4 linked regions of the Oryctolagus cuniculus genome follow. The protein of the gene in region 2 interacts with the protein of the main gene of each other region in a pairwise test. Links are inferred from orthologs where the notes say so. Each region holds a gene or a part of one and is shown on either strand. Other genes may lie near its edges.

Region 1 (4,281 bases), on a different chromosome or scaffold from region 2:
ATTGGAGGGCATATAAAACATCCTTCTTTTTAGATAGGAAGTCCTCAAGTATTCAACTTGTGAAAAGTCAATGGGCTAGGGATGGAGACAATCAGCCACCTCAACCATCCTCTGTTGGAACAAAAATTACTGTGGATGGAGTGTACTTTCTATTTCTCCCCAGTCCACAAAATCTCAAAAAGAGCACAAGGGGCTGGCATTGTGGCATAGCAGGTTGAGCCGTGGTCTGCAGCGCCAGCATCCCATATGGACACCGGTTTGAGTCCTGGCTGCTCCACTTCCAATCCAGCTCCCTGCTAATGCACCTTGTAAAGCAGTGGAAGATGGCCCAAGTGCTTGGGTTCCTGTACCCGCACGGGAGACCAGGAAGAAGCTCCTGGCTCCTGCCTTCAGATCAGCCCAGCTCCGACCATTTTGGCCATTTGGGAAGTGACACCCAGTGGATGGAAGATATCAAGATCTCTCTCTCTTCTCTCTGTAACTCTGCCTTTCAAATAAATAAACAAATCTTAAAAAAAAAAAAAGCACAAAGCGCAGACAAAACATTTCAAAGAGTTTAAAATGCTAATATTAAATTTCATTCTGAGACAAAATTAGATTGAGAACAAATTCAAGGGTGAAAGATTTACAATAGATTAAGAAGGGAAATTAAGGATAAGTGTGTGGGGGTACACCCGCATCTTGGTGATTCACATCATGGAGATACACGATATGCTCTAAAGAAATGGGGTACTTGGTCATGTGGATTGGATGGACGCAACCACATTCCCTAAACACGTCTGTCAGTCAGTATCTAGGCTTTCACTGTCAGAAAGTGAGAGTTACGGATTAAAACAGGATTCGATCCTTGGCGTTTCATTCACAGCACAAATCCTTTAAAAGTATTCAGTCAACAGAGGAGGGAGACTCCTGAACCCACTGTCACATGTTGAACAGTTAGGGAGCGTGGGTTAACTGAGTCCTTCATAGGGAGAAAAAAAAAAAAAAAAACTCCGGACCTAAACGGAACCGGAACGAGGAAGGGGTGGCTATCACCGAAGTGTCACTGAGTTGGGTGTCGTTAAAAATGGGTCACAACCAACAAGGTCAAAGATTTATGTTTATAAATACACACTATGGCCCTCCTTACAAATAATAGCAGACTCCGGGATCTCATTTCCCCAGAAGAAAACAGCCCCCGTGCCTCCTTCCCGTGGGTCGCTTTCTTTACCTGCTTCTTCCCTCTCGTGGGTAGGAACTTTCTGCCCCGCCTCCCGGCTCGCTCAAGCTCCGCCTTCCCGGCCCACCTGGGTGCCCAGCCCCTGACGTTACCGTTCGGCTTCAGCATCCTACAGGATTCCGGCTCCCGATTGGCCCGTCTGTTCACGGCTGGCGCAGCCCACCAATGGCAGCTGCGCTGGGTGGGCGGGTGCCCACATCCAAGATGGCGCCCCCAGGAGCTGGGAGCGGGTGACCGGCGACGGGGAAGCGGCCTGGGTTGGCCCTCAGATTGCGGGGTCTCGGGGGCGTCTCGTCGGGCACCCCCTGACCCACCTACAAGGCCTTCCCCGGGCCAGAGCAATGGCCGCCGAGAACAGCAAGCAGTTTTGGAAGAGGAGCGCCAAGCTGCCGGGGAGGTGAGCCCAGGACGCTGAGAGGGAGCCGGGATTGGACCAAACCCTTCCAAATCCTAATCCCTAAATCTTGCGACTGATGTGGGGACCCCAGGACCGAGCAGTCAGGGCTGCCTGGTAGCGGCAGGGCGGCTGTCAGGCAGAGGAGCGGGGACGGCTGGGTGTGAGGTACAGACCGGGGTCTGAGGGCGGAGGTCTCAGGAGAGGTGACCTCAGCTGGGGGGTGGCCGACGACCGGGCACAGGGGGCAGAGGAGTTGAGGGAGAACCCCGTGTCGCCCCCGGGGCTTGGGGGGCCATTCCCAGAGCCACTTCCCACTTTGAAGAGAACTCCTCGGGGGTCTCCAGCATGCACAGGTGGTTGCTTACTCGAGGGTGGCCCCTTCCTTGGCTCCCCCAGCTCCTCAGGTGCAAATCTTCTCCCAAAGGGTTCTGGTGGGAGCTTGGGGCCGCCTGCGAGGAAAGGGGTCGGGGCGGGGGGTGGGGGTCCAGGAAAAGTGAGAGCAGTTCTGCAGCCTGACCCCACTTTATCTTGAGTTGACCCTTTCCCGTCAAGGATTTCTTACAGGGAGACCACAGAGTCGGTGTTTTTCTCTAGCATTTTCTAGGGATTTGTCCAACTCCAAGTGACCTCTTCCCCCCACCCCCTGCATTGTAATGGTCTTCTTGTGCACACACACTGAATTCTTTCATTCTTCAGTGGTTTCGTGGAGGGCAGACCTTCTAAGCGATTTTTTTTTTTTTCCATTTTGGCATGTGTTGAGACTTTTTAGCAGTTGTCCATCCCCCAATCTGCCGTTAGTTGACAGTTTGGGTTGTTTTGGGCTGAGTCCTTAGAAGTCTAAGGAGGAAAGTGTGTTTCAATTGTGAATTTAAGATTTCTGCCAGCCACAGTCCAGTTGGTGATGAAATTCACGTTTGGCTGTGCCCTCCCCTGCCACCTTTCCTAATTGATTCAGTTCTTTTCTTTCTGGGATAATTGGTAATTCTTTGAACTTATGACTGAGTATTTTCCTCTAAAGCAAAGAGAAATGAACAGTCCGTAGTGTCTTGGCAGTCTTACCTTATTTAGGATCCTATTAAACATATGGGAAATGGAGTGGGGATCAGCTTTTAGTAATACATATTAATAGAAGGCAATGCAAAGACAGCCTCAGATTAACATGGAAATTACACTGGAATGACTGTTAATATCGTGTTAAAGATGTTGTGTGTCTTTAGATAAGCATCGCTTCCTGCCACCTGATTTCTTTTCCTTCCTGATCTAGTGAACTCTCCAGTTATGCTAAATGCTGTTCTCTGGGGTTTTCCATCATGAGATCATTAAATTTTGATGTCCTAAGGTTATAATGAGACTCAGCAGGAAAACTGTTCCAACAGGAAGCAGTGCAGGAGATGAGGGACATGGCATGGTCCTTTGTGCCTTCTGACACTGGTTGCTGTTCACTGGCTTCTGTTTAATACTGAAACAGTCAACTTTTCTAAAGCACTATGTGAGATAGGAAGAGGAGTCTTTTTTTTTTTTTTTAAAGAAAGATTTTATTCATTTATTTATTTGAGAGGTAGAGTTACAGACCGAAAGAGGGAGAGACAGAGAGAGAGGTCTTCCATCCACTGGTTCACTCCCCAAATGGCCGCAACAACTTGGAGCTGAGCTGATCTGAAGCCAGGAGCCTGGAGCTTCTTCCAGGTCTGCCACGTGGGCGCAGGGGCCCAAGCACTTGGGCTCTGGGAGAGGAGTCTTCATTTCTTCAAGTGTCTGACTCTTCCATTTTGAAGAATACAGAAGGGAAGAGGAGAGAACCTTAGGGTTTAAAAAGCCTTGGCTCATTATTTGAACTCTCTTACCTGTGTGTCAAAGACAAATGATTGACATCCAGGCCTCTGTTTCCTTATCTGTGAAATGAGAAATAAAAATACTTCCCTCAGGGTTCCTGGGATTACTAATAAAATACCCTATTTGTAAAGAACCTAGGACCGTTTATTTAACACATTATAGTTGCTCAGTATTGCTGTTTCTAGAGCAAGTAATTGTTGAAAAGAATATTGCTCAGATCCCTTACCCCAGCCCTAGTTCAAGTCTTCATTCTTTGTTCTAACCATAAAATACTGGCACAATTCATACTAGCTTTTAGTACTTTGATTGTTGAAGAGAAATATGGTTCAGCTGTGTGCCTTTATCTGCGAGGCCCCAGGAGCTCCTGATTATGGGAGAAAACTACCCAGGCATCTTGTAGATGGAAAGGTGCCTTGATGAAAGGAAAATGTTAGAGCATTTTCTCAATATAACTTTTTTTTTTTAAGATTTATGTATTTATTTGAAAGTCAGAGTTACACATAGAGAGAAGGAGAGGCAGAGAGAGAGAGAGGTTCTCCATCCTCTGGTTCCCTCCCTCAGTTGGCCACAACTGCCGGAGCTGCACTATCTTAAGCCAGGAGCTTCTTCCAGGTCTCCCACTTGGGTGCAGGGGCCCAAAAACGTGGGCCATCTTCTACTGCCTTCCCAGGCCACAACAGAGAGCTGGATTGCAAGTGGAGCAGTCGGGACTTGAACCAACGTCCATATGGGATGCCAGCACTGCAGACAGCGGCTTTACCTGCCACAACATAGTGCCGGCCCCCAATATATCTTTTGACTCTTCACTTGATCTTAGCCAAAAAGCCAAGAA
Region 2 (4,234 bases):
CCAGCAGGTGGATGTGCTCGCTCGCTCTCCGTCTCTGCCTTTCTCTCTGTAATTCTGCCTTTCAAATAAATGAATCTTTAAAAAATAAACTTTGCAGGGATATGAAAAACTTTGACTGGATTAGTTGATCTCCTTCAGTTTAAAAGAAGGCCAATAAGCCAGTTAAATATATATATATCTTTAAATACTTACATATTTTTTCTTATTGCATTTCTTTTTACCTTTTTTTTTCTTGTGGCTCCCCACGTCACAGCAAATACTACTTGAACTTTGGTAATTGTGCTCCTCCAAGGCCATGCGCTTTCTGTGTTTCTGCACCATTGCATCCCTCATTCTCTCCGGAATACTGTGACTGCATTTCTCCCCCAGCAAACTCCACTCATCCCTTGCATCAACTCCTCTGGGTGGTCTTCCCTGACCACTCCTGAGAACAACTAACCAATGTCTCCTCAGAATTCCCCTCCTTAAATCTATCACAGCTTCCATCAAACTGTATGCGTTTATATATTTAATCGTCCCTTTGCCAATCTGTTACATGTGCCTTGGTACCTTGCAATGTGTTTTTGTCTTTGTAACCCTTAGCACTGAGCGCATTGATTGGAACATAGTGTGAGTAAAATAAATATTGGCTAAATGATTACATGCAGACTGTTCTAATGTCTGTGTGTTTTTTTTTTTTAACTTTCTCCTAATTTCTTATCTTAGTTCAGGAATACGAAGTTTTCTCGCTACCATCCTCACTTCTGAAAATTTTTCCTCTTTTGAATTTCTTTAATATTTAAGGCTCGGGATCTTGCACCAGCCTAGCTGCTTTTCGGTAGTGCCTCGAGACGACTCGTTAGCCTCGCATTTTATCAGACTCCGCTCAAGGCGACAAGCTCCAGTCTCAAATATCCTATAGCGCAGAGACGCTGACGAGAGTCCGTGCGTGCGCGCCGACTGGCGCTCAGCGCCTGCGCGCCGGGCACTTTTTGCTTTTCGACTCTCCCTTTTTTTTTTTTTTTCCTTGGGAGCGTGCGCACCAAGACAGACAAAGGTGAGGAAAGTGACCAAGCAGTCATGCAGGCGCATGCCCACCCCGAACTTGTCCGAGCGCGGCGGCTCTCCCGGGGCGCAGAGGGTGTGGTCTGAGCGCGAGCGGCCGAGGCCCAATCCGATTGCGCGAGCTCGGCTCCTCCCTCCCCGCGATTGGCTAGCGCCGAGTGTTGTGGGGCGGGGAAAGGAAGAGATGGGGGCTGTGGAGGGGCGGGTGGGGAAGAAAGAGGGCTAATCTCGTTCTGCGCAAGCGCAAGGAAGCGACCACGAGAGGGCGTGAGAGAGCGAAAGGGAATGTGGAAGCCCTGATGCGCTGGCGAGCGCGAGCTGGGTCGCCGGCCTTGACGCCTGCGCCGTGGGCCTCGGGGTCCCGCGCGCGGCGGGCGGGTGCCCGGTGCGCCTGCGCAGTAGGCGGCGGCGGCAGGGGGAGGTGGAGGCCGTGGAGCGGCAGCGGCAGCAGCGGGTCCCGGGACTGGGGCAGCAGCGGGGGCGGCGGCGGGCGGAAGCTGAGGTGACGAAGGCAGCGGCGGCGGCGGCCGTTTCCCTCACGGTGGCGGAGACCAAGGCGGCGGCGGCGGACGGGGAGCGGCCCGGCCCCGGCCCCCTGCTCGTTGGCTGTGGCAGGGCCGCCGTGGGGCCGGCCCGGCTCCCGCCCCCCGCGGCTCCCCCTCCGGCTCCTCCTCCGGGGAGACGCCGGGGGCCTGGCCCGGCCCGCACTCAGACCGCTGCTGCAGCCGCCGCCGGGGGCGTCGGAGGCGGCGGCGGCGCCATGGGCGGCCTGGCCTCTGGGGGGGATGTGGAGCCGGGACTGCCGGTCGAGGTGCGCGGCTCCAACGGGGCCTTCTACAAGGTGAGGCGGTGCGCCGGCCGGGGACCCCGTCTTTAGCTCCCGGAGCAGGCAGAGCGGGGCGGGCCAGGGTTCTGGAGCTGAGTCCTGACCCGTAGAACCTTCGACCCATGCTCCCACCGCAGCCCTCCCCGGGAGACTGCCGGGAGTTCGCTCTCTTCCTCCTATTTTTGACTCCGCTCCTATACCTGCTTTTACCTTCAGCTCAGAATAGAATCGGGGCATTGCTGTGCCTGGATCGGCGCTCCCGGACCCCCAGGAGAAGTCTCTTTCCTCAGCTTAATTGACTTTTCCTGTTTGCTATTGGAAGCCGTACCTTAGGCCCTTAACTCGCTGTGCCACAACGCCCGCCCCATACCTTAGCCTTTAATCACCTCTTCCCCGCGGTCCAAGCACATGGACAATTCTTTTCTTCTCCCACATGACCCCCTTGGGAAGGCCCTCTGTCCCATATTAGCTCCTTTATCCTCAGAGAGGCCTCTGCCTACTGGCTCTGGAACGCTCACCCCACTTTCGCCTTACATTGCCGTTCCCAACCCAAGGAGAAACGGTCAACATCCGTTTATGACTTTTGGCATCTCTGGCCTCAGGTTGTATCAGTCATGTTGCCTTCCAGCCAGTGGCCTCTGCTCATAAGTCTGGCACCCCAGCCCCCCTTCAGTCCCGGGCCAGCCCGGTGGTCCACCGTTCTACCCAGGGGAAGGTTTCTGTTTGTTATCGTGCCTTGACCTCAGATCCATTCAGGTCATTCATACAGCTTCTGCATGTTGATGGTAAGCTTCATATGCATAGTGTCTAAAAGGGAGTCTCCCCATGAGCCCTTCCATTTCTCTTTTTAAGGATTTCCACTTCTAGAAGACTTTTGGCCATCTCTCCCAGTTCTGGAATCCTGCAGCCTGTTTTTGGAAGGAAAAGGGGACTATCCTTCAAAGACCCTTGCTTCTTTCAGCTCCCTCCTTGCCCAGGATTGGTTTCCTTAGGATTCTTTTTACTACTGCTTTATTTGTTTAGAACCCATTTTCTTGAACTTTTTGTCCCCATTTAGATGATGCCGTACAGAGAGAGACCTTTTTAGCCACTCAAAGAATTTTTCTTTGTGTGATTGTTGCTAATCCTAACCTCTTTGGGACTTTGTGTCTGGAATTGTCCCAGAGATTTTCCTGATTCCTGTCTCATTTCATCCTGAGGAGTCGCAAGAGAGAGATCTTCCCAGGGCCAGCTCTCCTTCAGTTCCCTTCTGGTCTTTCCCCCCTACAAAGACCTCTCAATCTTCCCATGCCCTTGGAAGTGGCTTGAGCTGATGACTGTGAAGTCGTCTCTTACTACAGCTGGAAAGGGTCTTGCCCTTGGTTGGAGTGGATGGTAACTGCCTGCACTTCAGTTGATAAGCTCATTGTAGTCATTTTTTACTCTCTGTAAGTACCTATTCACTCTTCTTTGCTTCCTTTCTTCTCCAGATTGCTGTATATCTAGTGTCTGTTCATAACTCATCCTCTCAGTTCAAGTCTTTGGCCTTTTATCCTAATATTTCTATAATCCCCAGGAACCACCTTATTACACTTCTAGCTGAAGGAAGCTCCCAGCTGATTGCTTTTGTCATTTTTTGCATACTTTCCTAACTCTTAGGACTTTTTCTTCATTTCTGTTTTCTTTGGCAAAACGTCTCTAATTCCTTTCTGGTTCTGATAGAGCACATTTGCCTCTTAACATCCTTTCCTCCAGTCTTGCATTACCTTTGTTGAAAACCCTGCCTCATAAGATGTTAGCCTTGTTTATCCCAGTGTCTTGTCTTTCATCTGAGTCCTGCCCACCCCCGAGTTCTGGAGTCCAAGAGAAATGATTCTTAAATTGAGTTTGAGATCAAGATAATGATGTTTGCTTTTTTTCTAGGAAGCATGACAGCCAGGCACAGCTGGGAAAGAATGGTACCCACTTCACAGTAAATGTGTGAAACAGCTGGGAAGGGCCATCTTTCCTGTAATCCACATCTAAGTGTACAACAGGAAGTCTCTGACTTTCCCTTTTTGCTCTTGGGCTGTGGCCATGAGTGACTTGAAGAATTGGGGCACAGAATACTTTGAATCAGAGTAGAGTTTGGAGTTGAACTGAAAGTGAGGTAATGTGGATTTTGTGTTCTGGCAACATTAGCATTTTTTGTCCCATACCTAAGGTAAAAAAACAACAAAACAAATCTCTGAATTGAGACTAATCTTTCTTCAGCTCAGTGTCATATAGATATTTATCCATGCTGACCTTGCTGCTGATTTAATTTAATATTCATGACTCAGCAAACTTTAGTGTAGGTCAAGGAGCATTCCTACTGCTTCTGGAACTATAAGTTTGGGAAGCTGC
Region 3 (3,436 bases), on a different chromosome or scaffold from region 2:
CACGAATGTGGGCTCCAGATTCATAGCATAGGTTCAAATCCTAGCACCCTCTTTTACTCAGCTATGTGAGTTACACAAAGTTCATCCCTACTTTGTTCCTGATTTCCTCCATTGTGTGGATGTAATAAGCGACTATTTAGTGAGGGCACTAAATAAAAGGCAAAAGTTAACAAAACACTATTCCTCCCTCTTTAAGAGACCACTAAAGGCAGCTATTAACTTTGATAAAGTATAGAAAATGAAGGCAAGAAATTATCTTAAATATGATCAATTGCTATTTCCTTGTGTTATGATTGTGGAAAATTTTACTTGTTTTGGGGACATTACACATTCTGTATTTCTCAAACCTTTTGAAACAAATATGAGTTGTATTTATAATACAATATAAATACACATTTAGGATTAATCATGAAGTATTTGCATATTTTGTACAATGGGGAATCCCTTCTCATTCCCTATGATACCGTTTATTAAAATGATAGAGTACAGTTCTCCAAAAATGATTGTATCACAAGAATCTTTAATGTTTAAAGTTTACTCATGGTAGGTTGTATATGTGTTTAGTAAAGTGTGCCAAGTGCCCACATTGAGACCATCTCAGTTCAAAACAGTTCACTCCAGATGTTGCTCATGCCCATCAAGGTCATAAAGAGGGGCCTTAGGCTTTTCTCTTGGTTAGGCCAGCTTTGCTGGTGAGTTCTCCACACTCACCAGGTGCATCAATCATACAGTACACATCAATCGTCCCATATAAAAGAATAAGATGGAAAACTTCTCAATGTATTTCATAAGTTTAGCACATCTCTGGTACAAAAAATCCAAGAAAGGTAGCACAAAAGCGAAGCACCAACAGAGCTTACTTATAAACAAACATGCATAAATGCTAGACACTACTTGATAGTACCCAAATGAATACAACATTGCATTAAAAGGTATAAAAGCACTGTACTGATAACTGAAAGGTTACACGTGAAATACTGCACTGTAAATCCTGAATACTCTAAGACCTGCCCCCCACCCTTCCACAGCCCTGGTGGGGGTTGGAAACCATCAATCTGCCTCCAGACCTCACTAGTCCTCAGACACACTGCTTCGGGGGCAGTGGACACTGGGACTGGCCTCCCGCAGAGCTCTGGCCTCCTCCAGAGCTTCTCTGTATCTGGAAGGCCAGGCCTGGGGATCTTTCTTAAAAACCCTGGCCAGGAACTCCATGATCTGCATCTTGGTAATCTCTTGCGTGGCTCGGGAGCCCCAAAAGAACTCATACTCCGGAGGTTCAACATAGGGTACGCGCTGGTACTTCAGGTAATTCTGCTGGACGAACTCCTCGGTGATGAGCTTTCTCACGTCCCCGAAGGTGGAATGCTTCTTCCAGGGCCGCAGCCCCAAGATGCGCAGCACGTTCCAGACGGCGCTCTCTCTGGCGCCTCGGCCCTTCACGTAGATGAGGCTCAGGATCATGAGCAGAAGGCCTGTCATGGGCATCCGGTTGCTCAGTGCCACCCTGTCCAGCTCCTCGGGGTCGAGAGCCTTGACCAGCGCAAACTCCATCGTGTGCAGGCTGGTCAGCCTCAGGTGCAGCCCAAAGACTCGGGCGAGGATGAGGCTGGTGCGCCTGAGGATGCTTCTGCACCATTTCTTGTAGCTGCCAATGACATCTTTCACCATGTCTGGAAACCAGATGATCATCTTCTTCTGGTCCTTGACCAGCACGTACCACATGAGCTCATGTGCCTTCTGCACCAGCTGGGCCGGGGCGGGCGGCGCGGGGCCCAGCTGGGCCGCGCTCGGGGCCTGGTGGGCGCGGCCCTCCTCAGCTGCCTGCAGCAGGGCCTTCGGGTCATCCTCATCGCTCGGGGCCTGGGGCGGCGGCTCGGGCTGTGAGAGCGCCGTCGGGCCTGGAGGAGGGCTCTGTGGCCCTGCGAGGGTCGCTGCAGGGGAGACGGGCGCAGGGCCCCCCGCCGGAACCCCTGGGCTGCTGTGCACTTCGCGGCTGGGGGTCTCGGCTGTCAAGTCGGGGTCGCTCAGGTCCTTACTTTGTTCCGACATGTCTGCGCCGTCTGACAGGAGCAGGGCCTCAGCGTCCCGGAGCTCTTCGAGCCTGCGTTCCCTCCGCGGTCTCCCTGAGAGGAAGTGCGCGTAGCTGCGCGCGGCGCCTTCCGCAGCGGCGGGCAGGGCGGGGCGGCGGCGGGACGACGGGACACTGCGCCTGCGCGTCCGCGGGCCGCGCGATTCGGACTGGGCGGGAGGGGAGGGGCTGTGCGCCCGACGGCGAGGGTCTGAGGTGGAGCCGCTGCTGGCCTGATGGGAATGACCCCGGGTTTCCTGCGTGGACGAGGCGGCCTTGGGGAGGGCAGGAGGGGCTGGGTGGTCGCTGAGGAAGGGGCAAGTTTAAAGGGGAAGATGGTAACTTCAGTTTCCCACGTGGTGAGGTAGAGTTTCTTACAAGGGTCCACCTGGGTTTGTCCAGGACTAAGTGTGACAGGAGCGTCCCAGAGAGAGCTCCCGGTTTCCTGCGACCAAGTGAGAGGAGCAGCTGGGATTCCTCAAGAGAATGTGAATAGTTGGGATTCTCTAAGAAAATATGCGAACTTTGGGAAGATCTGAGACTGGAATCCTGGGAAATACCAGTAAGAGTTGATGAAGTCTCTCCCTACAAAATTCCGAGAGTAGGAGGAGGAAGAGTATAAAATAAGGAGGAATGCAGAATTGGTAAATTCCCTATCAGTCCGTGCAAAATGTGAATGATGCTGGAGATAATGGGTTTAAAACAACTTTGACATTTTTTGTGTATTTTTACATTTTTAATTGACATAATAATTGCACATATTTTGGGGGAACAGGGTGCTATTTCCATAAATATATATGATGTGTATTGATCAAATCAGGGTAATTAGCATATCCACCACTTCCCACATTTTCATTTCTTTGTGTTACGGGACAGTCAAAATCCTTCCATATAGCTATTTTGTAATATATAATTAAAGTATTGTTAATTATAATCACCTAATGTGATACAGAACACTGGAAATTTTTTTGTTGCATTTAATTGTATTTATGTAGCATGTAATTGACTTTTCTGTGTCTCCCTTTCTCTTCTTCTTCCCAGTCTTTGATAACCAGTTTTCTAATCTCACCTTCCATGAGACCAACTTATTTAGCTTTCTACATGTGAGTGAGGACATGTAGTATTTGTCTGTCTGTGCCTGGTGCATATCGATTAACATATTGTCCTCCAGGCTCATTGGTGTTACCTCAACTGACTGATGGCATTCTTTTTCTCTGGCTGAATAGTGTTCCATTGTGTGTATATACCACATTTCCTTCATTCATTCATCTATAAATAGCTACTTATGTTGATTCATTAGTCTTTTGATTATGGATTTTGATTTTCATCTTCCCTTGGGTCACTTTGATTCCATTTTAACTTTTCATC
Region 4 (4,075 bases), on a different chromosome or scaffold from region 2:
CGCGGGAGCACCAGCCCCACTCCTCACTCCCCCTTTCCAGGGAAGCTCATTTTGGCATCTCCCTAGCTCGCTCGTGCGTCCCCTCCACAGGTTACTCCAAGTCTCCCGGATCCGGACGCCGGGACCCCCTCCTCCCCTCCAGTTCCCACTGCTGTGACTACTCTCAAACCCACCACCGGCTCCAGGGCTGTGTCCTGGAAACAAAAGCTTGTGCTGGTCGTCGGACCGGGTCCGGGCACCTCCCGGCACGAGCCTACCCCGCGAGCAGCCCCACGTTCGGGGGGCGCCAGAACCCGCAGGCAGTCGGGGACGAGCCTAGCGGAACCTCAGAAGCTGGCGGGACTCGGAGGGGAGTGAGGGCCCCAAAAGGCAAGAGGCACGGGACTGTGTGCGTTAACGTCCCGGGGCGTGCCACGGGCAGGTGCACGTCCAGGTAACGGAGGCCAGGGCTCCGGGCCCTCGAGCGCTCGCGAGAGGCACCGCCACCCCCGCCCTCCCCGCGCGGCTCACCGGTGCTGCAGCCCCACGAGTCCCAGCGTGATCACATGCGGCACATCCAGCTGCGTGGGCCACTCTCCTGAGGCGATGCACCCGAACACGCCACATTCCTCTCGGATTCCTAACTCTTCCAGCTCCATGTCGCCGCCGAAAGCACGTGGAGGAAGCTGCAGCCGCGGCCCGGGTCGGCGCACCAACCAGCTGCAGCCTTGAAACCAACGCCTCAGAAGACCGCGCCGGAGACAGCGGCTTCCTCCCCAGCACCGAGCGTCTGCTCGCTACTGCGGCGGCGCGTGCTGTCCCCGCCCCCTCCGTGGGCGGGGCCGCAGCCCCCGCGTCCCGCCCCCCACAGGGCCCGCCAATGAGTGAGGGCAGAGAGCGAGGCTCCGCGGCCGAGGGGAGGAGTCCCGCATACAGTAGGGGTGGAGCTACTCCTCCCCCACCCCCGGAGACGCCCGGACAGTATACTCTCCCGCACGTGGAAATCTCCGTTACTCTCTAGTCCTCAATGCTGGGGTGACGAGAATAACGGGGTTAGCATCCTGGCCCTCGCCCAAGAGGCACACGTCGCGCGCCCCTCCGCACGTGCCTTCCCCCGGCCGGGACGACTTGGTACGCTCCAAGCCCTGACCGGCTTCCTCCGGCTCCGAGGGGCCCCAGCCTGCGGTCGGCGCGGAGCGGGGAGGGGCCGCCAGCGCGCGCCACTTTCCGGCTCCCCGGGAACGCCGCCCGGGGGCGGGGTCGCGCCGGCGCGCCTGCGCGGCGGGAAGCCCCGGGCAGAGACCCTGCCGCGTGCATTCGCACGTAGATCGCGGTCGGCCGAGCTGCGCGGCGGCGGCCGCCGACTCTGCGAGAGCCCCGCCTCCGCGGCCCGCGCGCTGCGCCTCTCGGCCTCTTTTCCAGATTTGTGCGGCCCTTGGTCCACTCGGGATAATGGCGACGGCCGAGGGTGAGTGGCGGGCGCCCGGGGCCGGCCCGGCGGCTGAGGTGGCCGAGGCGGCTGAGGCGGCCGGGCTCTGGGCGGACGCACACGTGGCCCGAGCGCCCGGAGCGCGGGACGCGGTGGCGAGGGGCGAGCGTGGGGCGGGTCCCTGGGACAAAAGGCGGTCGGAAGCGCTCTGGTCATGAATAGCTATTGCAAAGCAACTGCTTGAAATTCTGGTGCTGACTTCAAACCCTAGAGTCTTGGTTGTTCCAGGTTCTTGATTAAACTGAAAATCTGGCCAGGTTTTGTGCAGTTTGGTCTTTTTTTTTTTTTTTTTTTTTACTTTTTAAAGCAGTCTTTGATGGCTTTGCTGAGTTCCAAAACCTGCAGGCAAAAACAAAAAAAAAAAAGGGTTGCTAGCTTCATTTTGCATTTACCGCATTTACGTCGTAGCGGTAACCTTTGCGCTCAGGTCGACTGGAACGATGGTTCTTGCCGTGGATGTGGAATCGGACGTGATACGATGTTTCCGACAAATACGCAGTGAACCAGATGGCCTGTGTCATCCGCCAGTACATTCTTTTTGCACGTAGGAGACAAACTGGATTTAGATCAGAGAGTTGTAAGCTGGGGCCGGCGTGATGGCGAAGGTTCGAGTCCTGGCCCGGGAAAGCAGCAGAGGATGGCCCGAGGGACTGGGCCCCTGCGCCCACGTGGGAGGCCTGGATAGGGCTCCTGGCTTGGCGGTTGCGGCCAGCTGGGGAGTGAGCCATCGTAAAAAGAGCGTTGTAAACTCACCGGGAAGAGCCGATTCCTTCAGCCATCCTTAGTCCTCATCAGCCTCTTCTGAACTCTTCTGCAAAGTTACAGCATTTTGATAATTGCGCAACCGCTCCATAAAACCAAGGGCTGGCCAGTTTTTCCTGCAGTCAGGGTGCCTGAACCTGGTGGGACCTCTCAAGGTTTTGTTCCAGCACTTACATCTTGGATACCAGTGGCAGGTTAGCTTTCCCAGAATGAAGGCCCGTCTTGGTCAGAAAAATGCTCAGTGGCTTCCCTGGAGCTGTTGCAGCCTGTTCCTAAGTTCCTGTGATTGGAACCCTGCGTAAAGCTGTCCTTCCTACCTCTTCCACCCTAATTTGTCTTGGTAGGAATCCTTACCCTACATTCCAGTGAGTTTAATTCACAGAGGTCACATTTTATTTTTTCTTTTTGTTATTGTTGTTCTAGAACAATGCTGGCTAAAAGAAATATAAAGTGAACCATATACATAAATTTGTTTTTTAACAGCCCTCTTTCTGAAGTTTTTTATAAATTTGGTAAAATGAGTTTTAATGGCTTTTATTTAACCCAGGATATCCCAAATATGAACATTTCAACATGTGATTTATAGAAAAAATTCCTTGAGGTATTTTGCATCCTTTTTTTTTCCACGTTGAGTGTGGTGTGTAGTTTATACATAAATCACATCTCAGTTTGGAGTCATCATGTTTCAAGTGTTTGATGATTGCCTGGTAAAGTTCTTTTCTATGGAAATTCTATGCTTTTGATAACTTTTAAATTTCAGTTCCATGAGCCATTCTCAGTCCTTCTCAGTCTCTTCTGAACTCATCTAATAATTGACAGCATTTTGGCACTTTGAGCAAGTGTCCGGATGGTTGAGTCTACCCATTGCCATTGCTGTCCTATTTCATGACTGGGCAATAAGCAGAGATTGAACCATTCTTGCTTCCTATAGCTCTTTTGTCCACCACACTGAATCGGTTCTCTCTCTCTCTCAAACATCTTGCCTCTTCTCCCACTGCTTTTCCCTTAGACTGTGACATTTCTTGCCTGGGTTGCTGCAGTAGCAGCAGCTTCCTAACGGGTCTCCCAGAGTCTGGTTTTGTTCCAACCATGCCTTCGTTCTCCACACAGCAACCACAAGGATCTTTCTGGAATGCAAATCTAGCATTTCACTACAGAGCTTAAAAGCCCTATCTATGGTTGTTCCTAGGATAAAGTCAGCTCAATCAACTTGGCCTACAAGGCCTGAGGAAATGGAAGAGAAAGGAACAGAAGTGGGCAGGAGGGGGATAAGAATTCCATGGAAGAAGTTGGAACGCTAGGCAGGGACTGGAGAAATAAGTATAGAGCACTAAACTGGGGCTGTATGCTGGAGGGTTTGTTTTTTATCTGCAAGAGGGTGAGCAGGCTCTCGCAGGTGCTGTTTCACTCCTACATGCCTGCAGCTAGGAGCCATGGACTCAAGCCAGGTCTTCTCCATGGGTGACAGGAACCGGATTACTTGAGCCATCACCACTGCCTCCCAGGGTCTGCACTGGCAGGAAGTGAGAGCCGGGGGTGGAACCCAGGAGCTCTTGATGTGAGAAGGGGGTATCTTTGCTAGGCCAAGTGCCTGCTCCCCGCTGCAGGGTTTTTTAAGCCTGTTGCTGAGTCTGGTGGATAGTATGTTAGGAGGATACAGATTCATCCTCTAAATTAGGTGCCCTAGGGTAGCAGCTATTGTGCTGAGCTGTCGCTAGTGCTTGCCTCTGCCAGCTGCTAATGTGAGCCCTGCACAAGTCTTGGGTCTCGCTTCCTGCTGTCCCCGTGGCGAGGGACCTGCACCCACAGCGCTGGTGCTGCAGCCACACTGCAGTTCTGCTGAAC

What was found. The genes of interacting proteins can lie anywhere in the genome.
Region 1: the proteins of FXR2 (region 2) and TBC1D22B interact in binary tests that used the Homo sapiens proteins (3 or more experiments, as listed by UniProt). The link is inferred for Oryctolagus cuniculus from reciprocal best matches to the Homo sapiens genes FXR2 and TBC1D22B.
Region 3: the proteins of FXR2 (region 2) and NDN interact in a two-hybrid assay, tested with the Homo sapiens proteins (2 studies listed by BioGRID and IntAct). The link is inferred for Oryctolagus cuniculus from reciprocal best matches to the Homo sapiens genes FXR2 and NDN.
Region 4: the proteins of FXR2 (region 2) and PAICS interact in binary tests that used the Homo sapiens proteins (3 or more experiments, as listed by UniProt). The link is inferred for Oryctolagus cuniculus from reciprocal best matches to the Homo sapiens genes FXR2 and PAICS.

What each region holds. Positions count from the first base shown.
Region 1 is NC_091436.1:132,390,660-132,394,940, reverse strand, and holds the start of TBC1D22B (TBC1 domain family member 22B), read left to right. Parts: upstream 1-1,481; 5' UTR 1,482-1,560; coding exon 1,561-1,616; intron 1,617-4,281. UniProt on the Homo sapiens protein: May act as a GTPase-activating protein for Rab family protein(s).
Region 2 is NC_091448.1:52,173,967-52,178,200, reverse strand, and holds the start of FXR2 (RNA-binding protein FXR2), read left to right. Parts: upstream 1-1,434; 5' UTR 1,435-1,804; coding exon 1,805-1,885; intron 1,886-4,234. UniProt on the Homo sapiens protein: mRNA-binding protein that acts as a regulator of mRNAs translation and/or stability, and which is required for adult hippocampal neurogenesis. Specifically binds to AU-rich elements (AREs) in the 3'-UTR of target mRNAs.
Region 3 is NC_091443.1:13,452,797-13,456,232, forward strand, and holds NDN (necdin), read right to left. Parts: upstream 2,183-3,436; 5' UTR 2,050-2,182; coding exon 1,072-2,049; 3' UTR 501-1,071; downstream 1-500. UniProt on the Homo sapiens protein: Growth suppressor that facilitates the entry of the cell into cell cycle arrest.
Region 4 is NC_091439.1:108,090,219-108,094,293, reverse strand, and holds the start of PAICS (bifunctional phosphoribosylaminoimidazole carboxylase/phosphoribosylaminoimidazole succinocarboxamide synthetase), read left to right. Parts: upstream 1-1,275; 5' UTR 1,276-1,431; coding exon 1,432-1,447; intron 1,448-4,075. Other genes in the region: PPAT (amidophosphoribosyltransferase), read right to left, coding at 511-638. UniProt on the Homo sapiens protein: Bifunctional phosphoribosylaminoimidazole carboxylase and phosphoribosylaminoimidazole succinocarboxamide synthetase catalyzing two reactions of the de novo purine biosynthetic pathway.